Linked DNA regions of Lonchura striata. The protein of the gene in region 2 purifies or fractionates together with the protein of the main gene of each other region. This does not show direct contact. Links are inferred from orthologs where the notes say so. Each region holds a gene or a part of one and is shown on either strand. Other genes may lie near its edges.

Region 1 (10,153 bases), on a different chromosome or scaffold from region 2:
TGAGGTTTAACAAAACTGCATTAATAAAACAAATTTTGCTTCTCACTGACCAATCCTCAAATATTTTGTAGCTGAACTGCCAGTCTGTCCACACCACTCTAGAGAAAACAGGGAGAAGCTGGCAGACCCAACGTGCTCGCTTTGTCAGAAAACGCGCTGGCCACGGACGAACGAGAGACAGCGAGAGAGCGAGTGCGTACATACCTGTGTGAGTTCTCAGGTGCGCTTTTAGGTGAGAAGACTTTGTATAAACTTTTGTGCAGCCTAAACAAAAAAAAAAGGCAAAAAAACAAGAAGAGCAAAGAGGCTTCAGTAGAGAGAAAAGAAACACTCCACACTATGTTTAAACTTCCTCATTCAGTGCTTGGGAAATAGCTGGACACATATAAGTTTACTACTTTCTGGCGTAATTTTTGCCATTTAGAAGCAAAATTCTATACAGAATGCTCCTAGAGATATGTTGCTTGACACAGAAAAGATGTATGTTTCTGGTCGACTTACTGCTTTGTAATGTAGTATATAGGCCAATAGCTGCTACAATCTATGTACAGTAACACCTGCTAAGTAAGTCCACAATTTAGCAGGGGGGGATTCTTTGATTATTTTTAAAAAATTTCCAAGAGGATCTGATCAAGCCAGACTCTATGGCATTGTCACCCAGGGCTCAACACAACTCTTTCACTGGCATTTGTTGTAAGGCACACCGAATAGGTGATATGGCACCCCGAGTTGGTAAAGGGGGAGCAGCAGTTTCTCTCTGCGCTTACAACGGGTGTGCACAGCCTGTATCTGGGATCACATACTACATGGAGGCACACTTTAGTCAGATCCCTCTTCCCCTCCAGTGCAGAAGGCAATCCATCTGTGGACAATTTGCAGAGATGGTTTTAATGGATTTATGAGGGCAGCTGAATCTCCTGTTTGTAACAGGGAAGAATGGCTGTGGCCTTGGCTACCGGGAGCTGCAATTATTCTTGCAGTGCCAGAAAATTCAAACAGAGCTGTACTGCACTGGACAAACTGAGCCTCTGCTCCATCATGAATACTGGACAGTCACACCGATTTACACTAGCAAAGGCCAAAATTTTTTGTTTTTTATTTTCTACAGAATCTCTATTTTGTAACAGGGTAAAATGAGTTCAAGAGAATGACAAATGACATGAATAATACCAATTATTTAATGAATGTGAGAGCCTTCCACTCAAAATGACGACAGAGATAAATTCTACTTGGACAAAGAACTATTTGGTTCTCCCTAGATGTAGACCACAGCTAAAGAAAACCACTTATACCTCATCCATTATTATTCACGCTTTTTTTTTTTTTTTTTTTTTTTTTTTTATTGCAAGAGCTGGGATTTCCTGGCACAGATTGCTTACCTGGGTAGTCACAGTAGTGGATACGTCTTTTCTCCAAATCTGGGTTACTTCTCCTGTTGTATCTAACAGGTTGGATGTTCTGGGGGGTTATGGGCAGAGTTGCTGGTAAATTTGGGTTGTGAATTGCCAGCTTGGAAGCTATAGTTGCGGCATATGATGGAGGAGGGGTTAAATTCTGCAGCATCTCTGCTTGTCTGTCTGGACTTCCAGGCTCTGAGCTTGGGGGTGAAGGGGGGAAGTAAGTGGCCTGCTGCTGCAGAAACTGGTTTGGCATGGTGTAGGTACAGGGGGGGATGCCCTGGAACTGTTTCATTGCAGTCTGTGGAACAGCTGAGGAGAGCGTGTTAAGGCCCGCCATGGCTGAGGGCATGGAGACATTGTTAAGGGAGTCCATCACGGCTGCCTGAGGAGTGGTGCTGGGCATGTCTAAATCCGGTGAGCTCAAGAGCTGATACAACTGGCCTTGCTGGGGCGTGATGGAAAGATGGACATCTGGAGTAGGAAGCTCCTGCTTGATGAAAATGTTGTTCACGTCAGGAGTTTGGTGGGAGCTGAAGATGCTGGTAAATTCTGGGAGGGCCTGAGTGGGAGCAGGGGCAGGAGTTTCATTCTGGTGACTGAAGATGGTGACTGAAGATGGCTCTGTCTTGATGTGGGTTACGCAGGGTCGCTGAGATTTGTACAAGCCAGTTCTCAAGTGGCTGATGTCAGGCAGGAACACGTTCATGTTGATGCTGTAAGGCAACCCTTCGCTGTCAGTGAAAAACTGGTCTACAACCGAGGCACTGTCTCTTCTGTATTTCTTATGTTCAGGGATGACAGGAATGGGTGGGAGCTGAGGTGCCAGGTATTTCTCCATTTCACATCTCGTCTACAAAGACAAAACAGACCATAGTCCACATGATTTGTTACCAGCTAAGGAAGATGATGGCATCCAAGTCATGTGAGGCTTTACAAACAAAAGGCAATACTGTTCACCCAGCCGCAAGACACCTACAGAGGAAGTTATGAATGCTCACACTAATGAAAACCTGCTTGATTTTACAATCAGCACACTGATCAACATCATCAAGGACAAGGAGATAAAGTGTTCACACATTAAGACAGATCTGATGTTTCAGCATACACAAACTTTTCATCTTTATGTCTAAAACACAACGCAAGGCGCAGAAGTGACAGGCGCTCTGCCTAATCTTCAGATCTCCTGCTCTGGAATTCACTGCTCGAGCAGGGTGACTGCCTGTTTCACCCGCTTCTCTTTGAAATGCTAACTGTAAAAGCCACATCCTCAGCTGACTATATGAATACTAATACTTCAAATAATGTTTATAGATTTATAGATAGATAGATAGATAACATACTTCCATGATTCTTCATCCCTGGAAGAACGGGATTTAATTAGAAATACAACACCAAAGTGTAAAGTTATTAATAATATTGAATAAGAAGGAGACAGGTTGACTACATCAGAGTACTCTTTGTGTAAAGTGTCTCCAGGACTACACTTAAACCAGTAATAATCTATGCAGTGTATAATTGTCTAATTAATAGCGTGATAAACATGTCCCTATCCATGCCTCGGTTCTCGAAGAGCTCTTTAATTACTGGAAAATCACCCTCTTAGCACAGTAGTGCGAGGGAATCCGTGGGTGGCTGGAGCCCTATACATTACTGGCGTACAGTCATCGGCAAAACATTTACCATGCCGTCTTCAGTGGGCAAATGCTACATTCCCCCCTGCCCTGTCAAGAGAGTGCTCATACCAGACCCGTTTAGCACCCCGCAAGCGAAAGCAGCTGACAAACAGCAACTCTGCCCGAAAGTGGATTTTAGGACCTTTCTTCAAAGACCCCCGGTAAACACCACAAACAAACACAGCCGCCTTCCCGTCCCTTTGATCTGGATCTGCCCCGACATGCCAGGCTACTTTTTTCAGCTCTTGTTTACGAGTCGAGGGCAACTCGCTTTGAAGACGGGGACTTATTTACTCGTTAGGGAAGACACCACCGAGAGACAGCGCCCGACAGAGCGCTGCCCGGCACCGGGGCTGCCTCTCCGCCGACCGGGGAAATGCCAGCGCCTCGCAGGGCGCCGGGAACCGCCCCTGGAGCGGGCTCCGTTCGCGGACTGGAGCCCGGCTGCGGTTCGCACCTTCCCGCTTTTAGCTCCTCCAGCTGTTTGCCTGCGGATCCGCTCCCAAACAGCCTCCTGGGACAGGCACAAAGTCCTGGGAAGTCCCCCGTTACCAGTGAGTCGTGTGCTCTGCCCCCCCCGCCCCCCGAACATGACTCCTTGCGTGGGCGAGGAGGACAGGCGGCCGCTCTAATTCTGCCGCCGGGCAAGTGCGAAGGCAGCAGCTGTAGCTTTCAACACACTGGCGGGGGCAGCCCGGCTCCCCCCGCCTCGCCGGGCCGGCCCGGCCGCTGCCCCCGGAGCCCGCGCCCCGCCGCGGCCCGGCCGCCTCGCCGCGCTCCGCCGGCGGAACACGGGAGCGCTTCCCGCTCCGCACGGGCGGGATGGGCGGCGTGGCCGCTCCCCGCACAGACACACCACACACACTCCGCCGCTGCCGCTGCCGCCACAGCCGCGGAGTTCGGCGTCCGCCGCCCTCGCCCCGCAGTCCGGCCCCACCCAGTCCCGCCCGCCCCGCAGCGGCCGCTCCGAGCGGGGCGAGGCGCGGCTCCGGGGGCTGCGTGGGCACCGAGTGCCCACCGGCGGCTGTGAGCGGTGCTCGCTGCCTACCTGCACCATCTCCTCCGCCGGCAGGTTCGCGCCGCCGCCCCCCGGGTGCTGCTGCTGCTGCTGCTGCGGCGGCGGCTGCTGCTGCTTCAGGTCCTCTCCGGGGAAGATCGCTGCCTCCCGGGCCCCCAGCACGGGCTTCAGCTGAGCGAACACCGGCTCGTCGGGCTGCTGCACGGGCCCCAGGCGGGCGGTCATGGTCAGCACCCTGGTGGCCATGAGGCTGGCGGCGAGCGCGGCGCGGACGGGCTGCCCGCCCCGGCGCAGGGCGAGTGACCCGCGGGCGGCTCCGGGCGGGCGGGCGGTGGCTGCTCGTGCGCTCACTCCCCAGGAGCACCAGCCCGGAGCGCATCCACTCCGGTATCGTCAGTGCCTCCGCCTGTACCTGGCCGTGGGTATCTACCCGGTGACACACGCCCGCCTCTATTTCACCCTACTCCACCCCCGGCCCCCCCTATACCGCACCCAGCCCGGAGAGGGGCCGGCCCTGCCGCCCGCCCTGCCTATGGGGAGCGCGGGCGGCTCCTCCCCGCCGCCCGGTCCGGCCCGGCCCGCTTCGGCCCTGCCCCGCCGCGGCGGCGATGGCGGAGCGGTGCCGGCTCCGGCTCCGGCTCCGGTGCCGGGCCCGGCAGGGCGGTACCGCCCGGCCAGCAGCCGGGGAGCGCTGCCCGGCGCAGAGTCCCCGGAAAGGAGCGGCCGGCGCGGCGCTCGCCCTGGAGTGGAAGCGGGTTTTCAGCAAGTGCGGCGCTCCGCCGACGTTTCTCTCGTGCTTATACTATTATTTATAGTCTTGTAAAGTAGCACTGCTAATGTGGCCACTTTAAAACAACTGTCTTGTCCTACCTTTCATCTTCAGAAAGGTTTTAAAGGCAGTCGTTCAGATTTATTATTTTTTGTCCTGAAGGCAACTCGTACTTGAAACCTGCTGCTAATAATTATCAGCCCGGCAGTACACATCCACCCGCCCCCCCGCACACTGTGAAAGTGAAGTTTTTCAGCATTTTACAGAAATAGCGCAGAGGACAAGGAAGACGGGTAGAGGAAAAGAGGTAGCGACGACTGAACCTTTTCTTTCCCCCCTCCTCCCCTCATAGAAATGAGGCAAGTTTCTATTTACTTGTTTTGAGGTGTGGTTTCGACGCAAAGCATATTTCCCCGTAGACACAGGACGGTGAGCTAAGCTGCCGCATGTTTCGCTGAAGCAGAAAAAGGAGGGACGCCGTCCTTTCGTGCAACACCGACCGGCTCACGTCGTATGGGAAAACTACAGCATGTAGTGGAGCTTTGGAAAAAAGCACAAACTTTCCACCTTTCTCCCAGCCCTGTCAGCTCTGCAGCTTTAGTTTGCAGGGAGAGAGTCTGAGAATCCACAGAAATGTTGGCAACCTCCTCCTCCCCGTATTTATCTCCTATAATTTACAGACAAAGTTCTTTTTTAAAACGTGAAAAAATCCTTTTTTTCCTGGTCAGCCTGGCACTCCTCCCCTTTGCCGCCCAGTCCACAGCGAGTAGGATGTCTCAGAGCCTGCATGCAGAAAGCTAATTACAGAACCCGGGAAGAGCTCAGCATAACATTTTTTTACACGAACTGTCTGTTTAGCAATATGCAGCCTCTTGATGCTTGCTATTACTAACGTAGATCCGGCTACTCCCGTCAGCGCAGCATTTGAAGCCGTGCAGGTTCATTTCCATCCGACACCAGCACGTATTCCCGTTTAGGCAATATGCAACTTCAGCGTCCTTTACTGAAGACTCATGACTGGCATTTCTTTCCCCGCTCAAGCCTAGGAACAAGTGTTTTAACCATCAGATTTTAAAATCATATCTTATTTTTTTGTGAATGCCCTTCACATAACCCTAGTTTAAGATTAAACTTCAAACTATGCTTTTTGAATACCTCACATGTCCCTTATTTCAACCCTGTTAGACTTCAAACTATGTTTTTGACCATCTGAAAGGACAAGGTTAGCATAAACTGCTCTCTAACATCTCTAAAATTGAAAAACTAGCAGTAGTATACTTTGCTGTCTAGAAACTAATTCTTATAGAGGAGGCACAACATAGGATTAGGCAGTGTCCAATGTTGTGCATGTTCTGGTAACTTTCAGACATTTAAACGAATCCTTTGGCTGTAGTAACTGAAGTGTTTTTCAGACTTGCATACCTTATTTGCATGTTTTGTATCCATGTGATTTAATGAATGATAAACGGATAATTTAAAAACTTTTGTTTGTTTGTTTGGGTTATCTTTGTTTGTTTTGCTTTGTTTTATATTTATACATTTATAAAGGGCCTATCCAGGCAAAAGCTTTGGCAGGTTAATTAGAATGGTATCACAGAGTAAAGCTCTGTGTATAAACATTTTCAGAAGCATCTCTGAATGTGTTTTATTTTTTTTAGAAAGGATGTAATTAGGTCTGAACTGCAGATAAATAAATCCAATCTCATCACTATGTTTTTGTGCTACTTATGGTCTACATCCTACAGTCTTTTTGTCAAGCAACAATCAGTGGGAGATGACTAAAGACTAAAGATGACTAAAGATGACAATTTTTAAAGAGCAATTTTTTATTTTGACTTTTCTACTATAACTAAAAATTGAACAGGAAACTCCAATAGACTCTTTTTCCTGCTCAGATTCACTGCTTATCTGACCTACATATTGCTGCATTATTTAGTTTACAGATAGTCTAAATGCACTTTTAGATCCAGAGAGAAAAATTATTTGATAGGCCATTTCAAGAATTAGCATTGTTACTAGATGTTACACTTCTTGGAACAAATAATTTTTATTTACAAATTTAAAATCAATACTAAGCTGCCAAATAATGTAATCTCCTAAATTAAATTGAAATGAGAATTTGTTCAGAATGAATCATAATGAAAAAAATCATAATAAACATAATAAAATAATTCATAATCACAATGAAAAAAAGGAGTTTACAGCTATAATAATTTTGGAACATTTCTAATTCTTCACTGATTTTGCAGACTGAGGTAGAAGTGAGTTTACACCTTAACAGATGAATTTGCCGCAGAAAACACAGTAAGCTGTTTTCAACCCAGCACAGCCCCGTTTATTTAAGTAAGACTACAGGCAGATATGTTTAGTAGTTTTGCTAAGTGATCATTCCTCTGCAACACAAGTCCCCAGGCATCTTCTGAAAATGACAGTTCAAGGTCTCAAGGTCTTTAGTTATTGTCCTGCAGAGTGAAAAAAAGGAGGAATAAAGCATTGACTGGTTAACACCTAGAGCTAGGTATGTGAAAGACACTTAGCTGGGTATGTGAACAACACTTTTCGGTATCCACGGTCAGTGGCAAGAGAAGTACAACACTTTGCACTCAAAACAGCATTACCGAGTTCAGGGGAAAAGGGTTAAACTTTCTGAAACTATGTCGATGCTGCAGGTTCTGAGCGGGCAAGGATCCAGGCTTTCTGAATGAATGTAGACTCAATTACTTTGAACTCTCTTGTTCTGTACATTCCTATTCGCTTAGTAGTGCTATGCCCATTAGGGGAGACAGGAGAAAACAAGAACAAATGTCAAGTCCCAGGCAGTTGGGAGCTTGGCAGTGGAGAAGCAGAGCACTGCCTTGTGGGAGTGGGGTTGGGAGCAAAGGAGTTCAGCAGCGGGGCCAGGATGGAGACAGACTCTCTGCTTTCCTAACTCATCGCTCCATAAGACATATCTCTTAGGAAAGGCACTTGTGTCCCATTGTCCTGCTGGGAGGAGTAGGGCCACAGTTACAGGGACCTACACGTGTTGTTTGGAGGCATAGGGAAGGACTGGAAAGACATGGACAAGTAGTTGCATAATGGTGAGGTGAGGGAAAACCAAGGACTTCAGCTGAACTAAGACAGGCTTGAAAGCCACAGGAAGATGTCTGATTATAATTTCAGGAGCTTTTAACACATTGAGAGGCCTGTTCTGATTGAGCAAATACCCACCTCATTTTTTTCATGTAAATTTACTAGAAAAGTGAGCATGAACTTTCTTCTTGCAAAATAGTAGCTGTCTGTACTTTGTACTTTTGCCCACTCATTAGACTTCATCTTCCCAAAGGAAGAGATGGTTTCTCTTTTTACTTCTAGCTTGCAAAAGAGCCAACACAACCTTTTAAGAAAGTCATCATTTTTCTCGTGTTAACTTTCCTCTGCAGACAGGATTGCACCAGCTACGATGTGCCATCTTAACTCATGACAGGCTTTGTGAATGCCACTCGCGCTATATAATCCAGCACCACCACACCAAGGAATGTAGCAGGGTGACTTTCTGTTCAAGCGAATGTGGGAAATCATGAAATGACAGTCTATTCCTGTGTACCTTTATCTCTTGCTGTTTCAAGATTCACTAACAGAGGTGCTCCCTTTGCTTATGAAAGGAAAGCCCAGTTCCTGTTCTTCATTTCACTGTACCACAAATACTGTGATAGACCATATGGAGAGAAGGATATTCCTGCTGAAATAACAAATGGCACTCCCTAATTATTTCAGCCTGGCATTTGAGTAAAAACACATTTCATCTTGACTTCTTTCCCCTCTTGACATTTCAGCAATCATCTCGTTCCACCCCTGCTCTAGCATGCAAAGCCTTATAATCAGGAAAATACCTCTAGTTCCCTTCGGACAAAGGTTTATTTTGAAGGATGCACAGAAAGTGCGATTTCATTTTGCCAACCTCCCTGTATACTCTAGAGGACAGTTGTGTCAAACCTTCCCATTTCCAGTGGAGTTCCTCAGGCTTTCTTTGCTGCTCTGCTGGGAGTGAAGTGTGTACCTTCCTGAACTAGCTTGGCATTTTTGTTGATGGATTTGAATTGGCACATCACATCAGGTAGAAACCTTCTCAACAGAGCGACTCCAGAACTGGACTTGACATTTTTTTTAGGATATAAGACTATAACAAACCTGCAAAAAGAAATTATTCCTTTACTCTACAAGCTGAGGGAGAGTCACCATTGCAAAACTTGGTACAGACTTCATAAAATGAGAGGTGTATGTAAGGTTTTATTTTGCACAGTTAAAAATTAAGCAAACTTCCAAAGTTGTTTAAAGTTTGCTGAGATTACTAAAAGCATGCAGATGCAGTTGTACTTGTGGTTTGTTTTTATCCTTTAGCTAAACATATTTTTCTTCCACTGTAAGATGAGTAAGTTAAAATAGCAGTGAAGGTTTGTGACAACTAAATAAAGGTATGTAAACTTACCCACAAACAACCTTTGAAAAAACTTTTTGCAGCAACAGGTAAAGATCCTACCTTGTCTGCATTTTCTGTGTTTTGACCTGAGTCAGTCTGCATTGTACAAAGACTAATTACCGATTAATTATATAAATCTGTCTATGAAGAGGTCTGTTCAAGTATTTTCCCTCAAGTTTAACTTGAGCATGTGTGTATACACTTGCATGCATCAGTCTGATTTGCTATTTATCAAGGCCAGTGCTGACTTGGCGGAACAGATGTTTCAAGATGGAAACTTCAACTGCTCATTACTTGAATTCTTGGATTAAGAATCATCAACCTGTCTGGAGGGAACAAGACATCTTACTCAGTAGCTGAACCCAATCTTTTGTTGGATTTTAATAAGCCTTAACTTCAGGTAAACAGCCTCATATTACTTAGGTTTCAGGTACAGTTCAAATATTTTCAGCCCATCTGACGAGAAAAAATACAGAAAAATAATTTATTGCTACCATTTTTTGTTTTGACCTCTGTGTGTTCAGCATATGTCTGAACTAGAGGCTGTTTATAACAACAGGTCTTTTTGAGAACAACAGGTCACTGACTCAGCTTTAGGAGGTGAGTCTTTCCTGTATTTTCATCCATTGTCCTACAGCTGCTCAGCTCTGACTTGTTGCACAGAAGGGCCAGAAATGACAATGACATGCTCCTTCAGCATGTCCTTTAATTATTTATGTACTATTAGAGCAGATGGAAATCTGTACATGTGAGGTAATGAGATAAGATTAATTAAAATGCTAATGTACTTCAAAAATAACATTCATGGTTTTTGGCAAGGTGGTTTGCCCGTTA
Region 2 (9,967 bases):
TGCCACGGCCACAGGCGTGGGGCTGCTGTGGGGGCTGGGGGACAGTGGGATGGGGCCAGTGTAACATTCCCATTCCTGGCAGGACAAGCTGGCTGGCAGCAGGACTGTGGTGCTGAACTGCATGGCACTGGGCAGCCCCCAGAGTGTCTTCCCTGCCCTGGCACAGCACCTGGGGCTGCCCGTGGCCACCGGCCGGGAGTGTATCCGGAGCCTGGAGAAGCATCTGACGGCCAAGGGGCCCATGGTGTGAGTTCCCCGTCTGGGGCGGATGCAGTGGGATTCCCCTGGATGCCAGGAGAGGCAGGCTGGCAGCAGCTCTGCTCTCCCTGCTTGAAGTGCTGTGAGGGGACAGAACAGGGGGTTGATCTGGGCTCTCCCACAGCCTCCTGGTGCTGGATGAGCTGGACCAGCTGGAGAGCAAAGGCCAGGACGTGCTCTACACCCTCTTTGAGTGGCCCCAGCTGCCCGGCTCCAGGCTCGTCCTCGTGGGTGAGTGTGTGGGGTGTAGCACTGCTGCTCCTCTTTGGAGGGGGTTGATGGGGACTTCCCTTTGCAGCCCCCACCCTCTTCCTCTCACCCTGCAGGGTTGGCCAATGCCCTGGACCTGACAGACCGGAGCCTGGCCAGGCTGGGAGCCCACCCAGCCGGCAGCCCCCGGCTGCTGCACTTCCCACCCTACACCAAGGAGCAGCTCACCCGCATCCTGCAGGAGCGGCTGGGGCAGGTGGGGACACGGGGATGGCAGAGCGGGGGGACGTGGCTCCTCTGCTCGCATGGGTGGCTGCACTGATAGCCCTGGTGCCCCACAGGTGGCAGGTGACCCCGTCCTGGACTCTGCTGCGCTCCAGTTCTGTGCCCGCAAGGTCTCTGCGGTCTCCGGTGATGCTCGCAAGGCCCTGGATGTCTGTAGGTCAGTGTGTGCCCCAGAACCTGGGGCAGCTTGGTCCCTGTGAGTCTCCATGGCTTCCCTGCTCCAGGGTACCCGTGCCAGGGGTGCCCATGCCAGGGGTGCCCGCTCTGCCCGGCGCTCAGGGCTGTCCCTCCCCAGGCGCGCCGTGGAGGTGGTGGAGCTGGAGGTGCGAGGCCAGACGCTGCTCAAGCCACTGCCTGGAGGTGAGTCAGTGCTGCCAGAGCCAAAACCCTGCAGCCTGTGCTGCAGGGGCTCCTCTGGGGTCGCCTCAGTGGGAGGGAGTCTGGGCTCCCTTCGTGCGGCTCCTCTCTCCACTACCACCTCCCTTTTCTCACCTCTCTCTGTCCCACAGGTGACTCCCCGGCATCCCCTGTCCCCAAGCGCGTGGGGCTCCTGCACGTCTCCCGGGTGCTCTCAGAGGTGTTTGGGGACCGGCTGGCGGGGGGATCCCGGGGGGCCCAGGACACTTTCCCTCTGCAGCAGAAGGTGCTGCTCTGCTCCCTGCTCCTGCTCGCCCGGCACTCGCACACCCGCGAGGTGACCCTGGGGAAGGTGAGTGGTGGTGGGACCCTCTCGGTGGGTGGGTGTCCCTGGGGTGTCTCTTGGGTGCTTTGCTGTGGTGTAACCCCCCCACCACCCCTGCCCTCCCCAGCTCCACGACACCTACAGCCAGGTGTGCCGGCGGCAGCAGCTCCCCGCCGTCGACCAGGCCGAGTGTCTGTCCCTTGTCACCCTCCTGGAGTCCCGCGGTGTCCTCGAGGTCAAGAGGGCCAAGGAGGCCCGGCTGGCCAAGGTACCATGGGGTGGTGGGGCAGGCTCTGGTGGCCTCAGGGTCTGGTGACAGCACTGGGACATGATCCAGTGGTGGGACTGGGGCAGGATCTGGCAGCACAGTGCTGAGCACCCCCGTTCTCCCTCCCAGGTTTCCCTGATGCTGGAGGAGGCAGCGCTGGAGCACAAGCTGCAGGACACAGCCCTGGTGGGCAGCATCCTGGCCCAGGGGCTGCACTGACCCCCCCCACAGCAGACCCCTCCCCATGGCCCCAAGGGGGATTTTGCTGCTGTGGCAAGAGCAGAGAAGTGGTTCCCAAAGTGTTGGGATGTTTGTAAAGTTGGGCCCTGGGCCTGTCAGTCTGGGGTCTTTTTATTAATATTTTAATGTTATAATATTATTAATGTTATATTGTAATTTCTGCGTGCTGGGAGCTTAGGTGGGAGGCTGGGACACCCCCCAGCCCCTATATGCCCCCCCCACCCAGCCCTTTAGCAGGGAGTGGTGAGTGCTCCTGGTCCCCCTTGCCACCCTGGTGTGATCCTGAGGTCTGGTGTTGCTCCTGCCCTGAATCCCAGACCATGTTTGCTCCCAGCTCTTTCAGAGCCTTCTGGGGCTCTCTGGAACCTCTTGAGCACTCTGGCTCCTCCCAGTGCCAGCCCTGCTCTGGGTCCCGGTGCTGCCAGTGGCACAGCAGGGGCAGGGACCCCTGGGGGGAGAGGACAGGGGCATCCCTTTATCTCCTGCTGTGAAATAAAGTCATTTTGGTTCAGCTCTGGCTCCTGTCCCCCGTGTTTCACCCCTTTTTCCCCAATCCCTGCCTGCCCCACAGCTGTGCGGACCCAGCCTTGTCCTCCCCAAGCCCTCTCCTGGGCTCCAGCCCCAGGCTCAGCTCCTGGCCCCAGCTCCTGTGTTTCTGTTAAATAATGGACGCTTTGACCTAATTTTGCAGCTTCCTCATTGTGGGGGGGGGGTGTTGGGGGCTCCAAATGGGGGTGAGGGGAGTGGGAGGGCATGAGGCTCTGCTTGTGCCTCACATCCCTCTATCCCACCCTGCCTCTACCATCCCACCCTGTCCCCCAGAACCCCCGGCTGCCCCTCTGCAGCTCCTGGCCAGGGATGGGGTGCTGGTATCCCCAATGTGCCTCAGTTTCCCTGTGGCCCCAAGGGGTGGCCCTGCTGTGTTCCAGCTCCACCTCAGCTCTGCCCCTCAGCTCTGGGGCCTGTGGCATCCCTGCAGCTCACAGGACACGGGGACATTTGCGCTGCCTGCCCGGGACAAGGACACAGAGGGGAGCCTGGTGCGGGCCCTGGGTGCTGCCAGGAATGGGGTGCAGGGCCAGGGGACACCTTGGGGACACGTTGGTCCCTGTTGGCCGTGGGGAGCGGCAGGGAAACCGAGGCAGGGGGAGCACGGGGGACTCTGGAGCCCCGAGGGCCCCGAGCAGGCTCAGCCCTCGCTGCCGGCTCTATTTATAGCCGGCGCTGCCATGTGTCGGACGTGTGCGGCGGCACGGGCGGGCGCCGGGGTCAGCCCGGGCTGTGCCCGCTCGGGGCCGTGTCCCGGTGCCCTCACCACCTCAGGGGCCCTGCAGCACCCTGTCCCTGCCCCTCCTCACACCGTGGGGCTCAGCGGGCACCATGACCCTGCCGCCCGTCGCCAGGCTCTGGGGCTGAGCGGGTACCGGCATCGTCCTGCCCGTGGGCAGAGCTGCATGGGGGTGCCCAGCTCCCCACGGACCTCGGCGGCCACGTCCTGCCCCGTGCCAGCCCCAGGGAGTGACGTGGCCCCCCAGCACACGGTGAGATGGCACAGGGTGACAGTGTCAGGAAGGAAGCGCCTGGCAGTGTGCGGGTCTGCGGTGACGCAGTGGTGGTGCAGGCTGGCATCCTTCTCCCTCATCCTTCTCTCATCCTTCTCCCTCATCCTTCTCCCTCTCCTTTTCCCTCATCCTTCTCCCTCATCCTTCTCCCTCACCCTTCTCTCTCATCCTTCTCCCTCTCCTTCTCCCTCATCCTTTTCCCTCTGTCACCCCAGCTGCTCTATCCCCGGCCCCCCGTGTCCCCCCGTGGTGATGGCTGAGGTGATGGTGGCCCAGGCAGGGCACAGGGACACTCCCACCTCTGGGCCAGACTGGCCATGGTGGGCACCCCACGGCAAGGCTGGGGGGCTGCCAGTCCAGACAGCATCCCTGGGGTGTCCTGGCTGCGTGCGTGGGGATGGGGACAGCCCCACCTTGGCCATGCCGGTGCCAGCCCCAGCTCCACTGTGCCGCAGTGGATGAAAAATCGATGGCGCAGCTGGATCCCGGCGCGTGGGTGCCGGAGCTCCCGCCGGAGCCGTTCGTCACGGCGGGGCTGGGAGCAGCGTGGCGAGGGGACAGCCCGGGACACCCAGCAGCGGTGTGGGGAGCCCTGTCCCCCGGCTCCAGCACACCTATGCCCGCGTCCCCTGTCCCCGCACACACACAGCTGCGCCGTGGGCAGCCCCACGCGTGTCCGGCCGCGCAGCCGCCCGGGTGCGCGGCGGGGGCTCGGTGTCCCCGGTGCCCCGGCTGCCTCGCTGTCCTCCCTTGCACTCTCCTTACATAAGCGGCCACGTGGCGGGCACGGCCGCCTCCCGCCGCGCCGTCACCGCCGGCGCCCAGATTCCATCTGACAGCCCCGTTCCGCCCGGCTGCTCCCGCCTGGCACCGGGGCCGGGGCTGCGGGGCACGGCCCCGCACGACCCCGCGCCGCCCGCGGTCTGCGGGGCGCCGGTGGCACCGGGGACGCGGCCACCCGGTGCCGGCGGCGCCTCCCGCCGCTGCCCTGCCCGCCCCGCCGCGCCTCGGGGCCGCGACGCCGCGGCACGGACGGGGCCGGGCCCCGCGGCCGGCGGTGGGCTCGGTGCCGCGGGGCTGCGCTCGGGGGTCCCCGGTGGCCGGTGGCTGCCCCGGTGGGAGCGGAGTGGGGTGGGGGGGGGTCGGGCTGGCCGCCGTGCACATCTGGGAGTGATTTGGCACATTCCACTGGGCTGAGCACATGCCGGCGCCTGGGCCTCGCCGCCGCGGCCCCGGTGTGCGGGGAGGGGCCCAGCGGCTGCTCCCGGCTGGGGGTGCCCCGGCCGGGGTGTACAACATCGTTCTGGTGAGCACACGGGGGAAACTGAGGCACGGGAATGTGCTGAGTGGCCTGGCGGGCCATCACCCTCCTGTGTGGGTACCGTGGGATCCTGACAGGTATCCCAGGGCTCTGGGCAGCGGCGGCAGGGCTAGTGTGACTCCCCCCGGGGCTTGTGGTGAAGCTGCCTACACTCCTCACATGTGTGCCTTCGCAGGGGAGCTCCTGCCCCGCTGCCCTCCCAGCCCTCCCAGGGTCTGGGCTGTGCTGGTGGGTGCAGGGCATTGGGTGCCCTTTCTGGGCTGCCAGAATGTGGCTGGGTAGCCTGTGTCCATGTCCGTATCTCCATCGCCATCCCCTTCCTAGAATCAGCATCTCTCCAGGGACAGACAGAACAGGGAATTCCTCTGGGTACAGGCACCACTCTATACCCCCGGGGTGCCACAGGTGCCCCCAGCTCTTCCCCTCTGAGCCTGGGGGGGCAACCCAGGAACTCCCTATCCCTCTCCCCTCTTCCCCTCAATGTGTTCCCATCTCTTCCCTACACCCCTGGAGCACCCACCCCTGTGTTTTCCCTCATGTGGGCGCCCCAATCCCCCACCTGGAGGGGGGGGTTGGGTATCCAGAGGCAGAGAAGAGGGAAGCGGGCTGGGGGTGGGGGTGGGTGGGGGTCGTTGGAGCACCTCCTCCTGTGAGTGGTGTGGTGGGTCGGGGGCGGAGAAGAAGGGTAAGAGTGGCATCGAAGTCGCGGTGCGCGGCCCCTTTAAGAGCCCCCCCCCCGGCCGGCGCGGCGCGCGCACCCACTTTCTCCCCTTCCGCTTTCTGGAGACTTCAAAGAGTCACTGAGCGGCGCCGGCCCCGCCCCCGCCCCGCCCCCGCCCGCGCCCCATTGGCCGCTGGGCCGGGGCGGGGGCGTGGCCACGGGGAGGGGCGTGTCCTCCTCCCGCTCCCCCCGCCCTCCGCCGCCGCCGCCGCCGCCGCCGCCGCCGCTGCCCCGCCCGGCCCAGCCCCGGGTAAAGTTTCCCCGCGAGCACATGACTCGCAATGGCCGCGGCCGCCGCTCGGTGAACCCCCCCGGGAACCCCCACCCCACCCCTCCCTCACCCCTCTAAGCCGGGGCGAAGCCCCCCCTTCCCCCCCAGCTCCTTCCCGGTGCCGCCGCCATGCAGCCACCACCGGGAACTCCCCGGGTTTAAGGATTTCGGTGTTGGAGTCTCCGCGAGCAGGTAATGAGGGGGCTCTGGATCTGCCCGTGGGAGCGGGGTTGGGAAGGAGGGTCTTGATGCGGCTCCGGTACCGCCTCTGGGGATCCCCCTCCGGTAACGGGTGATCCCGGGGTTCCCGCAGCGGGGGAGGGACTCCGCCGGGCTGCGGCTGCCGGGAGCACCGGAGCCGCAGCGGGTTCGAGATCGCGGCTTTGGCCTCTGCCTCTTACACTGGGCTTGGGGGTGCCGGAGTTCCCTTTCCCGGTACCGACTGCCTGGGCGCTCCCGGGCGGCAGCGCTGCGCCCCCACTCCGGGGCGGGCTCCGGGGCGGCTCCGCTAGCCTCTACACCCCACCGGGGACCGGAGCACCGCCGCAGAGCGCGGTGCTGGGGAGACCACCCCGGGATTACCGGGCTCTCCGGGGCCGCCGGTGCGCGCAGCCACATCCCCCCCCATCCTCCCGCGGCGGGGGGGGGCCGGGGCCGCTTCCCCTTTCGGGGTGCGGCGGGGCCGGGGCCCGGCGGGGGAGCGGGGCCGGGAGCGCGGGGGGCGCCGGGGGCCGGGGGGCGGGAGCGGCGTCTGCGCCGTTTCCTGGCCGGCGGGCGGAGGAAGCCATCGCTCTGCGCGGCTGACAGGGCGGCGGCGGGCGGGGGGGCCCGGGGGAGCCGGGCGGGGGGCGGCGGGGCCGGGGAAGGGACCGCCGGCCGCCGCCTCCCTCCCGCAGCAGCTGCCCGGGGCCGGGCTGCGGGCGGCGGAGCCCCCGCGGGCTCGGGGCGGGGTGGGGGATTTGGGGGTGCAGTCCCCCGGGTACTCAACCCCGACAGAGCGGGGACCCCCCTCGGGGGCGGGGAGCAGCGCCCCGGGCCGGGGCAGGGCGGTGCGGAGACAAATCCGTGCCTCTGTCCCCCAAATCTGTGCCTCTGACCTTTGACCTCGTTGGTGGCAGGGGCCGCCCCGCGGCGCGGCGGGTGCTGGGGGGGACACGGGGGTTCCCCCAGCCGGTCCCTCCGCTCGGGGAACCGGGCAGGCACCGGCCGGTGGCCCCGGGTGCGGCACCCGCCGCGTCCTCGCACCGGGATTAACGGGTGACGGCTCGGTGGCTTAGCGGCCCCGCGGCCACTGCTCCCGGGCCATATGTCACCCGTGGGCCCCCACCCTGCCCTTGGGGGTGACCTTGCTGCGGCTCGAGGGAGCGCCTGCTCCCGTGGGTGCTCGCACCAGGGATGCCCGCGGGTGTCCTGATGGGTGTCTGGCCCCTTTTTCCCCGTTGCTTGCAGCCCCCCTAGGTGACACGGTGACACAGCCACCGACAGTGGGATGACAGGAGCAGGGCAGTGCCCTGCGCCTCATCCGGAGCCGCCTGGTGTGGCTGCTCCATCCCACAGGGACACCTGGCTTCACCCAGCTGTCCTCACACATCCTCCGTGTCCCCGCGCTCGGTCCCTGTGGCAGGAGCAGCGTCGCTGCCACAGAGCCTGGGGACGGCTGTGCCACCGCCACCGCCTGCCCTGCGGCGCTGGGATTCACCATCCCGCCGCTCTGGATCTATTTATATCCAGGAGGTTCTGGTGTGACAACGTGCCACATTTGGCCGCGCGTGCCCTGAGCCGCCGTGCCCTGAGCCACTGTCTTGGCAAAATCCAGCGCCGATGCCAGTGCTGCCATGAAGAGGATGGCTGGCCTCTGGGGTCCCCCGGCCCTTTTTGGGGCGCTGCTGCAGCACGTCAGGGCTGGAGGAACTGTGAGTGCTCTGCAGTGCGTGCCTGGAGCCTCAAGGTGCCCCGTGCCGTGGGGCACCCCTGTGCCGCAGGGCCCCCTGGCAGCGCCAGCCCCGGGGGGAGCGCAGCGAGCGCGGGGGGTGCGATCATATCTGCGGTGACACATGTGCTGATTACGGAAAATGGGTTAATCTCCCTGCGGCTGGAGGCGGCTTAGCGGGGGGTGGCTCGTGGCAGGGCCCGGCGAGGGGCCGCGTGCGCCCGCCGTGGCCTCCGCTGTCCCCTCTGAGCCCCGGCTGCCCGGCAGTGACAGGGGACATGGCACACGGCTGCCTGCCTGCCAGCCCGGGCGCGACGCGGTGGGTCGCGGTGGTGCTGGTGGTGGCATGGAGCGGTTTGGCCCCCCCAGGTACATCAGGTGTCTGCTCCTGGGAGCCTGCCTAAGCTGGGGGCACGGTGCCACCAAATCCCGGTGTCCGGGGGTGTCGCGCAGCCGCCAGCCTGCCGGGTCCCCCCGCGCTGTGTCCCGAGCGGCCCCGTGCCAGCTGCACTTGTCTGCCGGCTGTCGCCGAGCCAGCGAGGGCTGTCTGGGGCCGCGCTGTTCCCGGCACGCCATTCCCAGGGCGCCGGCTGCCGCCGCAGCCTCGGCTAAAAACAACCAGGACTGCCGCGAGTGGCTGCTGGGGCACCGTCCCCCTGCTTCCCGGGAGCCCCTGGGGGGCTGGGATGGGGCACACCGGGACCCCCGGCATGGGGCACTCCAGGACCGTGAGCCCTGGGCGTGCGGTTTGCTGCTTTCATCCTGAGGGTTGGGATACAGGGTGGGCTTTGGGCTGTACCTGGGGATGTCCCCTCTGTGGGCAGGCAGTGCTGGGTGTGGGTGTGTGTCCCCAGGGTGCTGTGGGGGCAGCCCATGGTGTGAGGGGCTGGTGGGTCATGCTGGCTGGGATACCACTGGACCTTTGGGACTGGCCTGCTCCTCTCGAGGCATCCAAGCCGCAGCCAGGCCGGAGTGGTGGCAGTGGTGGTGTGGCACAGCTGTGGCCACCCCAGGGGCCGTGGCGGGGGCTGGGGCACCTGTTCTTGCTAAAGAATGGCACGTCTGGTGGTGGGTGCGGGAGGTGTAACCGGAGCGGCGCGTTCCCGGCGTAACCGGAGTCGGCCCGGCTGCAACAGGTGGAATTTCAGTTTGTGGCTCCTGGCAGCAGCGAGATGTGGGGTGCTGGGGTGAGGACCCGCACTACAGGGCCAGTGGTGACTCCCTAGTGTGCCTCCATGGGTTGGGGAGACCATCCTGCCGGCACAGACAGCATCCCTGTGGGTCAGTGTGGTGTCCCTGGCCCTGTGTCTGTGCTGGGGGAGCGGTGGTTGTATCTTGCAATTGTTGGGATGCTGGAACACCAGTGCTGCCCAGGGACGTGCAGCGGGGCTGTGCAAGCCCTTGGGTCAGCTGCTGGCCGTGGGAGTTGGATGTAGTGCTGGGGTCTGCTCTGGTCTCAGCATCCTCAGATTCCTGTTCCCAGCAGCCTCAACTCCGGCGCACGCTGGCCGAGTGTGCCGCTGGCTCCGGCCGTGCCGCAGGCTGGGCATGATTCACGCCTGCCCGGGGACGTGAGAAACGTGACGGTGACTCACCGTGGGGAGCTCCGGGGATCCGGGAGAGGGTCTCTCTCAGCAGCCCTGTCAGGGGGGCACCTCACCACTTCTTCACTACGCTGCCTTGCCCTTGGCAGCCTGGAGGGGCTGGTTGGTGGCCGGGGGGCAACGGGGGCAGCCAGGCCTTTGGCCTCGCGTGCGAGGCTACCCCGGGCTGGTTCTGCTGCCAGCGAGGAAACCGCAGGCTGCAACCGCAGTGGCTCCGCAGGCACTTCCTGCCCTGCCCGGAGGCTGCCATCCTGTGCCCCCTACCTCAGCACGGCATCCCCACTCTGCCCACACACCGTGGGGACAGCCTGGCATGGGGAGGGTCTCCAGTGCCTGTCCTGGTGAGGGTGGGGGACGCACGCAGCAGCCGCTGCCAGATTTGGGGAGTGCAGGATGCTGCGGTGGTGAACTCTGCGATGGCAGCAGGGACGAGGGCCTGGGGTGGCAGGTCAGTGGGGTCATTAGTCAGCGGGGTGACACGTCAATGGGGTGACAGACTCTAGGGTGGCAGGGGAGCAGGGTGAGAGAGTCTGGGGTGACGAGCTGTGACAATCGGGCCAGGACTGAACTGAAACTTGTCTGCCTGGGAATCGAGAGTGGCAAGGGGAAGCTGTG

Evidence for each region.
Region 1: the proteins of RARA (region 2) and KLF5 purify together in Homo sapiens (affinity purification with western blotting; 4 studies listed by BioGRID). This does not show direct contact. The link is inferred for Lonchura striata from reciprocal best matches to the Homo sapiens genes RARA and KLF5.

What each region holds. Positions count from the first base shown.
Region 1 is NC_134604.1:50,474,113-50,484,265, forward strand, and holds the start of KLF5 (Krueppel-like factor 5), read right to left. Parts: upstream 4,469-10,153; 5' UTR 4,338-4,468; coding exon 4,122-4,337; intron 2,251-4,121; coding exon 1,380-2,250; intron 265-1,379; coding exon 205-264; intron 1-204. UniProt on the Homo sapiens protein: Transcription factor that binds to GC box promoter elements. Activates the transcription of these genes.
Region 2 is NC_134627.1:6,946,669-6,956,635, reverse strand, and holds the start of RARA (retinoic acid receptor alpha), read left to right. Parts: upstream 1-5,885; 5' UTR 5,886-6,010; intron 6,011-9,967. Other genes in the region: CDC6 (cell division control protein 6 homolog), read left to right, coding at 83-246, 383-489, 585-724, 810-910, 1,049-1,113, 1,263-1,462, 1,563-1,703, 1,833-1,922. UniProt on the Homo sapiens protein: Receptor for retinoic acid. Retinoic acid receptors bind as heterodimers to their target response elements in response to their ligands, all-trans or 9-cis retinoic acid, and regulate gene expression in various biological processes.